Linked DNA regions of Caenorhabditis elegans. The protein of the gene in region 2 interacts with the protein of the main gene of each other region in a pairwise test. Each region holds a gene or a part of one and is shown on either strand. Other genes may lie near its edges.

Region 1 (7,297 bases), on a different chromosome or scaffold from region 2:
GACGACACCACATATGTCGAGAATTATTCCAGTGGCAGGTATGGAAATCATGCATAGACGTATGTGTAAGATGTAGACAGATTTAGATTAATTTATAGTTATTATTGTACATTCAACGTTTTCCGAAACTTCTACCTAAAGACGCATGGATTTATTGAGATGGGTCTCACCACGGGAAAAATTATGGAAATTTATGTTAATTGGTTTTTAAGAACGGTTTTGCATAAATACGCGTATTTATACACACTCTTTAGATGATTGAAGAAAATCTAGAAAAAATTTCACGCTCAAAAATGCAGTCTCGACAGAGGCCCCACGAAAAGGGGAGCAGAACAAAAAGGGGATCTGCAAAAAGGGGATCTGCGAAAAGGGGAGATACGAAAAGGGGAGATACGAAAAGGGGAGCACCTTGCCGTAAAGATAATGCACCAGCGGGTCTCGAAACTATCAAACCTTCGCAGCTACAGTAACCCAAGAATTTAGTTTTTTTTTGCAAAATTTGGCGAGTTTTAGAAAAGGGGAGCTGGCACTGTGCCAAACGCACAAAACGCAATTTTTCTCACGCAACGCACGTTGATTTTTGAAATTTTCTTCTAGAAGATACGCTTAACAACACGCGACGCGTAACATCGGAGCATCGTTGTATCGTTTTCTTCGAGAAAAATAGCGTTTGGCACAGTGCCAGATCCCCTTTTCGTTGCTCCCCTTTTCGTATCTCCCCTTTTCGTATCTCCCCTTTTCGCAGATCCCCTTTTTGCAGATCCCCTTTTCGTTCTGCTCCCCTTTTCGTGGGGCCTCTCTCGACACGATCGAAACTTCGTAGCCACCGTACCCGCAAGCGTTTTACTATTTTCTCCCTTCTGTATTTAAATTTTCAATTAATTTTATAAATGTTAAAACTATAAATTTCTTGAAAAATCATGAAAAACTCGCCAAATTTTGCAACAAAAAAAAACTAAATTCTTGGGTTACTGTAGCTGCGAAGGTTTGATAGTTTCGAGACCCGCTGGTGCATTATCTTTACGGCAAGGTATAATGTTTCAGTATTTATCTCAGTATTTTTTTTTTCAATTTCTGTTGTATTTGTATTCGTGGTAAGACCCATCGGAACAAATCTGTGTCCCTTTGAGAACGCGTTTCAGAAAATTTCGAAGCTACGATATTATTATTGAGTTGAATGAATGTGTTTTTTGAATTCTTGGAACATATTTTGAAAGCTCAGTTTTTGATTGATTTAGCATGTTGAGTGATGTCTGAGTTTTTCGGTTTCCGTGGTAGCGCGTTCATTTTCCTGTGTTCTAGTCCTAGTTGCCTTGTTCAGATGGCTTCCAACGTGGATCTTCTGGAGATGCTCAAGTGACTGCTGCACCGACAACACAAGCTACATTCACACAACAGTTCGTTTTTCACATATTGTAATGTCGGTAATATTGATTTTTTCCAGACCAACGTTCCAACAAACATTCCGACCAATTCCTGCGGTATTTTATATTTTCTTTTACTCTCTGATCTATATTATAATTGCAATTTTACAGCGTCCACGACAGCGAATTGTTGCTCAACAGCCACAATCTCCATTTAATCGTCAAAATGTGTTCATTTCAAGAAGACGTGGACAGAGTAACAGTTTTGCTGCTCAGCGGCAAAATGTATTCCAGCAGCCACAGCCGGCTTTCGGTGGCGGACGTATGTTTCTAGATCTAGGATATTGTCGAATCTTTTTGAATCTTCAGAATGCGCTGATCGTGATCCTCAAGGAAGATGCAGTCAGTGGCGTCAGTTCTGTGCTTCACCATCCCATCAGCAATACTTAACGGCGTTCTGCGCAAGAACATGCGGACTGTGTCGTCGTCATTGAATTCGTTTCTTGAAGCATATTGTTTCCTAGGGTCTCTCAACATTTTGCTCACTATTACTAAAGATCCGCTAGGCTTTTCCAAACACACTACGAGTTTCTGAAATTTCTGTATGACAGACAAAAATAATAAATCATTTTTTAAAGGAAACTTCTTCTAATAATTCACTTACACATACTACCGGAGAAATTAAACGATTAACTGGGAAACATGCCATGAAAAATGAGAAAAATAAAAGCGAAAATGGCTGTAGTGAAGAAAGAAAGAAATAATAAAATTATGACCTAGTTATACGCTATCACTTCGAGACTTTACGGAGTAAATTCGGGGGTCAAAATGGGTAGAGGAAGATGGTGAGATGAATTGGGAAACAATGAAAAAGCCATCGTTTAGAGAAGCATCGTGTGTGGCTTCTCGAGGAACTCCTTGAAGTGACGAAGCCAGACGGCTCCAACAGCTCCATCAACAGTCCTGTGATCGCATGACAATGTTACCTTCATAGTCTTAATCTTCTTATATCTGAAATACAAAAACTATATAACTCGATAAATTTCCTAAAAACTCTTACCCTTCAGCCTCGTCTGGGACCAGCTTATCAGATGCTCCTCCGATAGCCAAAATGCATGATTGTGGTGGGTTGATGATCGCGGTGAAATCAGATACAGATCCGAACATTCCGAGGTTCGAGACGGTGAAAGTACCTCCTTGGAACTCATGAGGCTGCAATTTTCCTTCGCGTGCTCTTTGCGCCAATTCTACAATTTCTGAGGCAATCGTGGCGAGTCCCTTAGCGTGAGCATTGAAGATAATTGGAGTAATAAGACCGGCTGGGGTGCTGACAGCTACAGAAACATCGACGTGATGATTCTCACGAATGAACGAGTCCATCCAATAGCTGTTGGCTTCTGGAACTCGTTGACATGCAAGAGCAGAAGCTTTGATGATAAAGTCATTGATTGAGATCTTAGTGGCTTGTCCCGATGTTCCCTTTGCAAGAAGACCGTTGAGCTTTTCACGAACCCTGAATAAGGGTAATTTTTGGAAAGGAAGACTCGGGTTTATTGTTTTAATAATTTAAGAAAACTCACTGAAGAAGTGTATCCAATTGAATTTCGCTGGTCAAATAATAATGTGGAATCGTTGATTTGCTTTCGGTGAGTCTCTTAGCAATTGTCTTACGCATGTTCGAAAGTGGAATATCGGTATAATCTTGACCAGATACGGCTTGAGTTGTGGTTGAAGTAGCGCCCTTTGCTGGAGCCTGGGAAAGATCCGAAGCGAGAATACGTCCTCCTGGTCCACTTCCAGAAACTCCGCTCAAGTCAAGGCCATTTTCAGCAGCAAGTTTCTTAGCGAACGGTGAAGCAGAAACTCTTCCCGATGATGAGTGTGGAATTGGTGCGGACTTTGGAACTGATGGTGCTTGATACATTTGTGCTGGGGGAGATGGTTGCGATGAAGCGGCTGGTTTTGCTGGCTCTGGAGCTTTCTCGGCTGCTGGAGCGGATCCACCAGATGAAGCACCATCGTCCTTGAAATCCTTGAAGGCAGCAACGTCAGCCTCGTTGTCGACGATAATACAGAGAAGCTTGCCAATTGGAACATCCTTCGATCCTTCCTGGATGAGAATCTTGGCAAGATATCCTTCTTCCGGAGTTTCGAATCCCATAGTGGCCTTATCGGTTTCAATCTCGCAGAGCAAATCTCCTTCACTAAGTTGATCTCCTTCTTTTTTCTGCCAGCTTACAACAGTTCCGAGTTCCATAGTTGGAGAAAGTGCTGGGAGAGCTACCCGATTGTGCTTTGGCAGATTTCCTGAAAAAAGGAATTAGTGGACAACCAGTTGGAAAATATAAATAGGAAAAAAGTCTCACCACTGCTATAAAGGCGAACTTGTTTAATACTGAAAGCTGCAGCATTTGGATATTGGCGAGCTACTTGTCCAACAAGTCCTGAGCTTTTGGCGGCAGCTCCGGTGCTGAGGGCCCGACTCGATTGTGTGAAACCGATGTTGGCGGCAGAAATAGCTGCTGTTGTCGAGGGACGAAGCCCACCAATCGTTCTCAACGGCACCGGGAACTTCGACATTACCTGAATATTTTTCAGTTTAAACAAAATTATACTTGTAAGAAAACGTAGAAATAAGATATTTAATACACATTTGCAAACAACAATAAAGAATATAAAATTGTAAAGTTATTAAATTTTAAATGGAATGAAAAGCTAATTTACAAGAAAACTTTATCATCTTTCTGCATACTCGCCTGATTTTCGTAGAGTTTTTGTTGCAATAACTGATTAAAAACTTTATCACAGACTGATAAAACGTCAGAATTCCTGATCAGAAAAGAGTGTTCAGAAAAATGAGAAAAGAAAAAATTAGACGGGGACAACGACACTCCGTTTTAAACACGCGCGCCTTGTTTATCACACCGATTTTTTTTTATTTTCGCGACGAAAAAAAATGTTTTTGATAGGTTTTCCCAAGAGAAGTGTGTTTTCTAATGTGTTCTTTTTGTAAAAATTGTATTTTATAACAGAGATGACATCTTCGATCCCATTCCGTTCGTTCAACGAGAAATATGAGTGTAACGACGATGATAATTTCACCTACTCAAGCACTGAACAGGTTTGTAACCCCGCCATGTAATTATCATGTACGATTATGAGTATTTCAGAAACGTATTGAAACAATGCTTTTCGAAAACTACAATTCACTGGTGTTAGAACCATTCAAGACCACAAGCGACGAAGATCTCGCCGAATTGACGATTTTCCGTCAGAAACATGCCTCGTATTTGCTCAGATATCTCAAAAACTGCCCGTCGAGCTACGCAGTAAGTTTGATTTGTGAGAAGTGGTTTTTAACATTACAATTTTTAGACCTTAGACGCTAGTCGTTCATGGATGTGCTACTGGGGAGTTAATGCACTTAAAATTTTGGACGCAGAAATTCCAAACGATGTTATCGAAAACATTATTGTTTTTCTTAAATCTTGTGAACATCCAGAAGGTGGCTATGGTGGAGGACCAGGACAATTGGCTCATTTGGCTCCAACGTATGCCGCTGTCATGTGCCTAGTGTCTCTACAAAAAGAAGAAGCTCTACGATCTATCAACAGAGTCACACTGTTCAATTTTTTGAAGAAGTGCAAGCATGAGAGCGGAGGATTTTATATGCACGAGGGAGGAGAGGTAATAATTTATTAATGAATATCTCTGGCAATGGTTCAAAAGCTCTAAATGTACTGAAACTCCTGCATAGACTTGATGAAGTCCTACTCAGAGTGAAACTTCTACGTACTCTTGCATAGAACTTTAGGATCCTTGCTGCACACTCTACGAATTGCCTCTAGTGTTGTTTTTTTTGCCAGAGATATCATAAAAATTCTGAGCTATCGAAAATTGAACATTTCCAGATCGATATGAGAAGCGCCTACTGTGCACTAGCAACATGCGAGATTGTGGGCCTACCTATGGATGAGATATCAAATGGTGTGGCCGAATGGATTATCAGCTGCCAGAGCTTTGAAGGTGGTTTCGGAGGAGAACCGTATACAGAGGCACACGGAGGATACACTTTCTGCGCGGTCGCCTCGTTGGTTCTGTTAAACAGGTCAGTTATTGTTATCTTTGAAAATGAGAAGAGACAGACCATCACGTGAACACCACATGTTCTTTCTTATAAAATCATATCAATTAAGTTAGTTCAGAATTTGAAATAAGATCATTGATCCTGATGATTTCCAGATTCCGTCTTGCTGATATGGAAGGTCTCCTTCGTTGGGCCACGCGCCGGCAGATGCGATTTGAGGGTGGTTTCCAGGGAAGAACAAATAAACTTGTTGATGGATGCTACAGCTTCTGGCAAGGTGCCATCTTCCCACTTTTGGACGGAGAAATGGAACGAGAAGGCCGATCATTGGAGAAAGGTCTTTTCGAGGCGCGAATGCTTGAAGAGTACATTCTTGTTGGATGCCAATCAGTACATGGAGGATTCAAGGATAAGCCGGACAAGCGTAAGATCCAGTTTTTATAACTAAAAATGACTTCAATTTTCAGCCGTCGACCTGTACCATACATGCTACGTTCTCTCAGGATTATCAGTTGCTCAGAAGTACTCTCTCGCTCGCGATGGGAAAATACTTGGTGGTGATGTTAACATGCTTGCTGAAATTAATCCAGTTTTCAACGTGACCATTGCTTCTGAACAATTTGCCAAGGAGTTCTTCACTTCTCATTGATCGTTCGATATGTATCCTTTCAATATGATTTCATTCGTTAATCTCGCTTCTTAAAGACGTCCCATATACGAGTTTCTTAATTCATATTTGCCTAAATTATGTTTTCCACCCGATTTTTTAAATATTTTTGTATAAAGTTGTAACAAAATTTTGTTTTCTGCTTCAAAAATTTCATAACAAGTTAACTTTCTCTAAGTATTTATTTTATGTCAATGTGCTATATTTATTAAACTGTATTTTTAAACAATTTAAGATTATTCATTGTCAGTAATGAAGCTGAAAAAACGTCCAATGAAGCTGGCGGCGAAACCAAAGCCGAAGCAGCCAACGGAGAAGCTGGGAAAAGCACAGAAGATGAAGCTGAAAGAAGATAATTTGGCTAGCGTGAGTGATTTTTTGTTTTTGAATTTTTAATTAATAAAATTATTCTTTACAGGCGGAAAAGATTATGGCTCAATTTGAGAGCGGTGCCGTGCACACGAACAAGAAGAAGCAAGCACAAAATGGAGCAGCCAAGCCGGTGGCCCATAAACCTGCGAACCCGGAAAACTCTAATCAGAAACGTCAATTCAAGAAAATTCTTGGACAAGATGGTATTCTAGTTAAACATCAAGAAGGAACCAAATGGTATAGCTATCAAATCGATCATGTTCATGATGAAAAGACCGAAAAAATGAATGCATCGGAGATTCAAAAGCTTCTTGAAGAGGGAAAGGATGAGATGGCTCAAGATGCAGCTCTGCTCCAGACGAAGGAGAAACAAGATAATGGATCTGAAGCTTCGTGGTTGTATTCAGTGATTTCAAAGGGAACAGCTACTGATAAGAGAACTGCAATGCAACTTCAAATGCACAAATCTCCCGTTCACTCTTTGGAATATATCGAGAAACTTATTGCTTCGTGCAAAAAGCAGGGAACCAGAGATGTCGTTGACATCATTCGTATGTCAAAATTAATTTGAAACTCCGACATTATTATTACTTTTTCAGCTATTCTCGAGGACGTTTTCATCAATCACTGTCTCCCAGAAAATCGAAAGTTGATTCCATTTTCCAAGCGTGCATTGAGAGAGCTCACCGAGCTCTCATCTGGAAATCAACGTTTGCGTCGAAAAATTTTGCTGATGTGGGCTTTCGAGCATGAGCTCAAAATTCTTTACCAACAATTTATTGAAACTCTCGTTGAAATTATTAAAAG
Region 2 (7,711 bases):
TTCCTGGAAGAATTAAAACTGAAAAGAGTTCATATGCATCACGTTTTTCTTTTAAAGAATTGGTTCACTCAGCAAACATCAAATTTTTTCAATGTCTGCATACCGATTATAAGGAAAAAAAAATCAAAAATCACGAGTTTCGCATGCTTTCAAGTTTGCATTGTTACGCTCTTATCATAGTTGTTTTCACGTGCTGAAAATTGTCAACTCACTTCCAAGTTTTCTCCTGAAACCCCTTCCATTTTGTTTTTATCGTCCAACAAAATCGCCAGCTCATTTTTCAACTCAGGTATTCTGTCATCACAATCTCTTACAGTTGTTTCAAGTTCTTTTACATTCTGAAAATGAGCATGCTATCATCTGTGGGGAAAATCTTTTAAAAAACTCAATTTGTTTAAAATGACCAAAAATCGTAGTAGAACTTATGTGCAATCAAAAAATGGTAAAAACTTTTTGTCTCTGCAATTGTATACTCTAATTATGTTTTAACTATTTGTTTTTGAAAATTATAAGGTTTCATCTTCAGAAACACTCGAAATTTTTCTAAACTTTGTCTTAATGTTTTAAAAAACGAAAAAAATTTTAAAGTGTTGTATCATATCCGGTATCAAAAGTGAATTTAGATCGAATCCCCTCTGACAATACTCCAAATTCAAGTCCGTACCTCAACCAATCTCTTATTATCACGCTCCAGTTCAGCCATAAATTGGTCTGCTTCCATTTTGATTGTAGCCAGCTGGCTCATTTTTTGCTGAATTTCTCGATCAATCAGAATCTGTCAATTAAGTTGTCACTTACCTGCACAACATACTTCACCTCGTCTCTCTTTGTCCGTTGATCTGTTATCTTATCTTTTCGTTCATCCAGTGCAGCCATCATGTCTTTCATATCCGATTTTATGTCCTTAATTCAAATTTTGAAACTTTACAACTATCGTTCGACTTTTTCTTTTGAATCTAAACTTTTGCATGTTCTCTTATTCTCCAAACTCACTTTGAAAACTTTGATGTCTCAGTCAATTACATAAAAAATAAAAATAGTACCTTAGAGACATTTTTGGATTAAAGTTGAACCAAGAGTTTAGTCAGTTTCTTCAAAAAAAAACCCCCCTATCTTACCTCTGCATTATTTGTTTGCGGAGCTGCAGTTTTCGGACGATCGTATTTCGTTGGAACATTCAAAACTTCTACTATTTCTCCGCCAATACTTTCCTGGAAATAAGATTAGATAGACACATAAACCACAGAAATCTTGCAAAATCGGGAACGCAGGATAAAAATAATTTGGATTAGTAAACTTTGAAATATGATATTAAACTGTTACATGTTTTGTCTGTTGAAATAGGAGAGGTGTGTCAATTTCGTGTAGCAAAGTAGTTTAGAAAAAGGTGTGAGTAAATACATATGACACACGTTTTTTCTGCTTTGATCCTACCACTTGATCTTGCTGGAAGTAGTTTGCAAAAAAGTGAATTACTGTTTATTCTCTCTGCAACAATGGTGAAAAAAATGATTCGCGGAGCTTGGTCGAATTTGTTCTCTGATTCCAGGAGGTATAGGAAAGTAATTAAAATTATAAGTTCAAATTTTATGCAGTTAACGTATTTAATAAATTAAAAATGGTGATTATTTCTATCAGTATCGTTAAGCGTTTGTAAATATGTTACCATACGCAGCACTGTAGAAAATCATCACAGTTTCGGCAATTCTAATTTTTGACAATCAGCATTTTTAATCAAAAAATGCTTGGCAATCGACAATTGGGTAATATCAAACAGCGATTGCCGTAACTACAAATACATTTGAATGAAATTTTGCTATTATAATTCAGTGAGAGATTACATAAACTGCCATATGTTAGCAGAGGTATCTGATACATTTAAAAGTTTGATGTTGATAATGCACAAATAGTTTTTTTTTCATTATTAAACAGCTATCTGGAAAAAGATCACTAAAAACTTCAAGAATTCCAAAATATATTTTTGCCGTTTCGCGTTTTTTTTTCTATTCAACATTCAACTCAACAATCACGCAACTCACAATGTGCGTTTCCAATTTATTGTATCTTTTGGAAACAATGTCAATTGTTCTTTTAAGCACTGCCACCTCGGTATGCATCAACTCAATTTCCTTCCTTTTCTTTTTTTGTTCTTCACTTTTCACACGGTATTGCTCTAAATATTTTCGGTACTGAAAAAATAGTATTATACTGTTACAAATTATTTCGCCTCACCTGAACATTTGACACAACTTCCCCGCCCACTTTGTCTTTGAGATTGGTTTTACGCTCATCGACATCTTTCTCAATTTTCGCAAGTTCTTGCCTGAAAGTCACGTCCATTTGGTCGCAAATACGGTAGCTTCTAATTTCCTCAACTCTTGCAGTTTTTTGCAAACTTTCTAAGAATAAAGTGGTTTCGCTAATCTTTTTTTTGAGGAAATTGAGAAATGGGGTCAATCAAATGTTGAAATCCCATCACTTTTCTCGCTTTTTCCCATTTTCAATTTCCTACTCCCAGTGGAATAAATAGGACGTTTTGGAAAAAAAAAGCCGAAAAGAGAAGAAGCCCATCTACACTCACTTACCTCAATTCTTGCAATTTCTGCACCGCTGTTTCTTTTTTGCGTTCGAGAAGGGAAGTTTGATGACGAAACACACTGAAAACACCTCATATGTTTTTTTGAAAAAAGGTCAGTTTTGGGAAAATATAAAAAAAGATATTCTAATGTTTTACGTATAGGAAAAATACGATAAACGCAATTTCACAAGTTTTAAGTTCATCACCTGGTTTTGCTTGAAATGCTCTAGAAATGCCGAGTTAAAAAAAAACAAGTGACAAAAAACTAGGAAGTTAAATACCTTGGATCTATATTGAGCGTATTAAAGAGGGATTACCGTCAGTGGGTATTTGTTTAAACATTACCCAAATAAATTTAAAATTACCAAATATCATAGTGGAAGTATTCTAAAAAGGACAATTTTCCGAGCAGTCAAAAAATGGTAAAAACTCCGTCCTAATAATGAAAGTCAACAAAAATTTGTTCCACAGTTTTCAAATTTTAGTTATAATTCAGAAAATTTTTAAAAATCTTTTTTTTAGTTTTGAGAGTATTATGCTCATATTCGGTCATGTTAATTATGTGTCTTAAGACGAAATCCGCAATAAAGATACACTACTTTCATTATTTTTAATAATGATAAAAAAATTTAAAGTTTTTTGTCGAAGCATCCCTTACAAATTCATTTTCTTTTCTAAATAAATATCTAACACTCATAGAAGAATACGCAGATTGTGTCTCTTAGCAGCAACCATCATCATCCACATGTTTTTAAACCGAGTGATGCCACTGTCCGCTTTTAGATTTGCCTTTCCTTGTTCATTAGCAACCAGACCAGATTTCATATTTTTTGCACAAAGAACACAACAACAAATTTGAAATTTTCAGCAAGCACAATTTTAAAACATCTAGACCAAAATGAGCATGCACTTACCTCATGTTCTCATCAATATCCACTTCTTTGTGATCCCGTTCGTCTTCTAGTTTTCGAATTCGTTTTGACATTTCCTCTATCTGAATGATGAATTTAAAAATAACTCTTTCATGCTTTGATCAGCCATGTTTAAGATGACTTGGGAGTAAACAATTAACATATTTTTGGTCAGACGAAAATTGGAAAATTTTTTCGTCTCTCTGACGTCTGAAGCCATTGTTTCGCTCTTTGGCTCTGTTATTTGTTTTTGCCCACGTTTGAAAAAAGCTTTTGAATAGCTTTTAACTCTTAAAACATACAACTTTTTTCTGTAATTACATCATTTAATTTTGTAATCACCTTGGAAATAAGTGAAAAGTGCAGCCACGTTTAAGCTGGGCGACAATTTTATTTTGGATGTTTTTTTTTGTTAAATTTGGTATACATTTTCAAAAATAGCAAAATCATTCTAGCAGTTTTTTAACATCAATGTAGTTTTTATTCCCGCTAATTTTTGTTTACAAAAAATTTGAATTTCCTATCAAAATTTTTTTCAGAAAAACTTTATTGCCAAGTTTGTTTTCCTAGAAAATTTGAAAATCCCACAGAAAAAAATTCCCGAGAAAATTTTAATTTCCGCGAAAAAATTTTTCGGAATACTTAAATTTTTCGCCAAATTTTTTTCCCAGAAAATTTGAAGTTCCCGCTAAAACTTTTAATTTTCGCTAACAACTTGCTTTCGAAATTTTGTATTTCGGGCAACGTATCTGTGTAGTAGCCGTGCTCCAATAGCATTAATTCCTTTTTTAATGGTAATTTAATTAAAACGTGAGGTCAGTGTTGCATATATACTGTCGGCTGCACATTTATCATAAAATTCCCCAAAGTTAAATCTGCAGAGATCTTTAAGCCTGGTATCTTTAAGCTTACCTCAGAATTCATTCTACTGACATCCTCTTCCCGCACTGAATTGGACCTTGCCATGGCTGTCAGCTCTTTCAACTTGTTTTCCTTTGATTCAATTTCTTGAAACAACTTGCCATTCACTAAGTAAGTGTTCGTCGCAACTTCGTCCTAAGAAACCCTCTGTCGTCATTAGATAGGAGAAGACGAGAAAAATAAGTCTAGTAACCTCTAATTTTTCCATTAACGCCTGTTCATCCAATGTGTCAGCGACCGCTTGAGCCTCCGTCAAATTGATTTTCATTCGGTTGATTCTGGCTTCGATGTTCAGGACCTAAACAGAAAAGAATTTCTGATTTTTGATGCTCGCTGCGCCAAAAAAACGCAGTAAGAAGGAAGAAGCCGCACACTCGAGAACAAAAAAATTGCACTCGCTATTTCTGTACTTCTTCTTTCATTTTTTGTCAGGAGAGCAAAAAAAAATTACGTCGGAGATAAAGAAAAAGGAAAATATTTCACTCGGTCTATTTTTGATTTTGAGATAAAAAAATGGAATTCCCAAAGAACCAACCTTCTGCCGTTCTTGTTGTTTTTCAATTGCAAAATCTGCATATCGGGTTTTCTCTCCGCGTAATTGTAATGCAAGTTGCATTTGTCTGAAAACGATTGGCTATTTTGAAAAATGCCAAAATTTATGTTTTATTTTTATACTAAATTCATTTTATTTTATTTTTTATTTTTATAATTTACGCTAAAGAACTCCCTTACTTACGTTTATATGAAAAACGGACAATTTTCCGCAAATTTCTATCTGCACTTGCATAGCGCTCGTTATTTAGCAAAAAGCTTGTAAATTTATTGTTTTCTACTTAATTATGATTGAAGCAGACTTTATCGTACTTGTAGTAAAAATATGAGCCTTATATTCAATTTTTTTGACAATGAGTCAAACCAGAGCTTAAAAGCAATACCGATACAGGCCAAAAGCTTTGCTCAAAAATTGCTTTAAAAATATATTAGCAATGTAAATGTGTTAGAAACTAACAAGAATGATCGGAAATATCCATCTTATCAGCTTATAAAGTTTACAGCTCTAAAGTTTCAAGTGAGCTGTTTTTTTACCTTCAATGTTTTGAAATATGTAAAATCAGGCAAAATACAAATTTCAAAAAAAAATCAAAAAAAATAAAGAAAAAAATCTGAGCTCATTTGCCGGGCTTTTTCAGTTTTTCTGAGGTTTTCTAACACGATGAATTCAGATAGCAAATTCACTTGTCAGTGAAAACTTTTATTAGTTTTCTATTGTTAAACGAATTTTCCTTTTTTTCGCATAAAACAAGTAATTAATTAAATTTTGACTACATTTTCCTGTTATTTTTGAACAATTTTTTTTTGAAGTTTTCACATTATTTGAACTTACTTATCAAAATATGGTATATTCTGCACTTTCTTCTCGGTCTTCTCAATCTTTCGGAGCAAAATTTGTTTTTCTTTTTCCATTGACTTTAAATCCTCTTTTATGTCATCAAGCAAGAGTACGTCTGCCATTATTCCTTTCATTTCAGCATGGATTTCCTGTAGAAAAGTTGTTTTGTTTTTTTTTGTTTTTGCTTTTTTTTTGCTCATCCACTATCGTGACGACTAATCTCTCATGTGATTAACCTTAAACTCCATTGTCAACTCTCCAATCTCATTTTGCAGCTCTTCAATATCATAATCGAAGAATTCTCCAGGTACATCTGTCTGAAAATAATTAATTTACGTATTTCCAATTACAAAAAAGTGCGAAGCTGTTTAGCCATTTCTTGATTCATTAATTCAATGTGTACCTAGATCAGAGACTAACTAAACCAAAAACTTCGGCTGTCTTGCCTACTATATCAGCTATTCAAGCAGAACGATGCTTGTTCTCTATGTATCATTTTTCTTTTAAAAAAAATAATGACAACATCTATTTCTCTCCCCCCAGAAACCACTAGCATAACATGTCGGCTTTTGGCATAGCAATTCATTACCTTCATCAAATATTTTGACAAATATGCGCGCTCTTTCAAACCTTCTGAGTTTTCAAAAAGAAAAACCAGAAGAGGATAGAGGCTAGTCTTGCGACCTTCGACAATCCCTGCACGCCATTCTTCCCTGTAATATAATGTCAAATTAGATGCTGTTTAGTGATTGCCCTCGTTTTGCACGAACTGTTCATCCTGGTCTTGCGGTGGTCTGTAGCGGAGAATTCGGAGCATATTCAGAATACGAATTGCAGTCTCTTCAGCAGCCTCTCTTTTGATATCAATTCGGTCCGTGTCGGAAACCCAGCTGAACATTTTAAAAATTTTCGTTGTTCTTATATTATTAAATTCAATTTTATCAGTGAGAGCATTTATGTGTTTGTAAAAAATTTATTCAAATTTTTCTTAATTTTTTTATGACTTTTGAAATTTTGCAAACAAATAAGAAAGAACCGAATTTTTTGAACATTCTACCCAAGTGGACCTGCTGATACCCCTTTTCTTTATTGTTGTGTCAAATTTTTTTTAAATTTACACAGCAATCTATAAAATAATTACTTTCAATAGAAAGTTTAAGAAGATTGCTCAAAAACTGACATTAGTATCAGTTTGCCAACCAGCAAATTTAACACGCACATTGTAACTTTGTGCCTTTTTTTGAGCAACATCCAAAAGTACAATTAAAGGTAAAGCTATTTTTAGAAATTAAAAAAATTTATTTATATTTCTTTGAAAAATTCTTGAAAAAATAACGATACAATAATAATAAAGTAGCTGTTTTTTAATTGTCACAAAAAATGTAGCACACGTTTCTGGAAAATTTTTGTGAATATTTTAAACACCATAACTGTTTTTTCTCGATATCGCATTTTTTAAATTTCTTTTTTTGACTTAACCAACCTCAAAACATTACTCAAAATTTGGAGCAACTGCTGCGGTGGTAATTGGTCGAATTGAAGTGATGATAAGTTGAGATTGAACGGCTCTTCATTCAAAAAGTGGAGAATAAACCCTTGAATATCGTTCGACATCTTAAGGATACACCGTTAGTGATGACAATAAACGCGAGCTCGTCGAGCAGCGCTCCCGGTTACCAGGGCAACACGACGTAAATATATGTTGTTGCTGGGCTCTTTGCTATGTGAGTGTGAAATGTTTCAAGTAGTATTGAAAAGGGAACAGAAGTTGAACAAGTTGAATCAGTTTGTTGGTAATTAACTGTGGTTAGAGATTTGTTTTGAGTGAGTGGTAATTAAATGTGAACTTTTGATACTCTAAGGTAATAATTTATATTTTTCATATGAGAGTTTTTTTTTGAGTAATGTATC

The links.
Region 1: the proteins of ags-3 (region 2) and dlat-1 interact in a two-hybrid assay, tested with the Caenorhabditis elegans proteins (one study listed by BioGRID).

The regions. Positions count from the first base shown.
Region 1 is NC_003283.11:14,443,344-14,450,640, forward strand, and holds dlat-1 (Dihydrolipoyllysine-residue acetyltransferase component of pyruvate dehydrogenase complex, mitochondrial), read right to left. Parts: upstream 3,948-7,297; 5' UTR 3,945-3,947; coding exon 3,731-3,944; intron 3,672-3,730; coding exon 2,945-3,671; intron 2,878-2,944; coding exon 2,425-2,877; intron 2,376-2,424; coding exon 2,246-2,375; 3' UTR 1,980-2,245; downstream 1-1,979. Other genes in the region: F23B12.4 (ShKT domain-containing protein), read left to right, coding at 1-38, 1,322-1,397, 1,445-1,481, 1,536-1,686, 1,734-1,858; fntb-1 (Protein farnesyltransferase subunit beta), read left to right, coding at 4,399-4,485, 4,535-4,693, 4,740-5,051, 5,276-5,472, 5,607-5,875, 5,919-6,100; F23B12.7 (uncharacterized protein), read left to right, coding at 6,371-6,484, 6,537-7,041, 7,090-7,297. UniProt on the Caenorhabditis elegans protein: The pyruvate dehydrogenase complex catalyzes the overall conversion of pyruvate to acetyl-CoA and CO(2).
Region 2 is NC_003284.9:5,298,453-5,306,163, reverse strand, and holds the start of ags-3 (Tetratricopeptide repeat protein 28), read left to right. Parts: upstream 1-2,563; 5' UTR 2,564-2,585; coding exon of another isoform or gene 2,586-2,657; 5' UTR 2,658-2,690; intron 2,691-3,492; coding exon of another isoform or gene 3,493-3,572; intron 3,573-4,373; exon of another isoform or gene 4,374-4,394; intron 4,395-4,401; coding exon of another isoform or gene 4,402-4,545; intron 4,546-4,603; coding exon of another isoform or gene 4,604-4,708; intron 4,709-4,945; coding exon of another isoform or gene 4,946-5,030; intron 5,031-5,794; coding exon of another isoform or gene 5,795-5,949; intron 5,950-6,036; coding exon of another isoform or gene 6,037-6,117; intron 6,118-6,389; coding exon of another isoform or gene 6,390-6,513; intron 6,514-6,570; coding exon of another isoform or gene 6,571-6,690; intron 6,691-7,283; coding exon of another isoform or gene 7,284-7,414; exon of another isoform or gene 7,415-7,437; intron 7,438-7,468; exon of another isoform or gene 7,469-7,499; intron 7,500-7,532; exon of another isoform or gene 7,533-7,603; intron 7,604-7,711. Other genes in the region: ift-81 (Intraflagellar transport protein 81 homolog), read right to left, coding at 1-3, 213-338, 665-751, 799-903, 1,119-1,211, 2,040-2,189, 2,233-2,323, 2,586-2,657 and 9 more.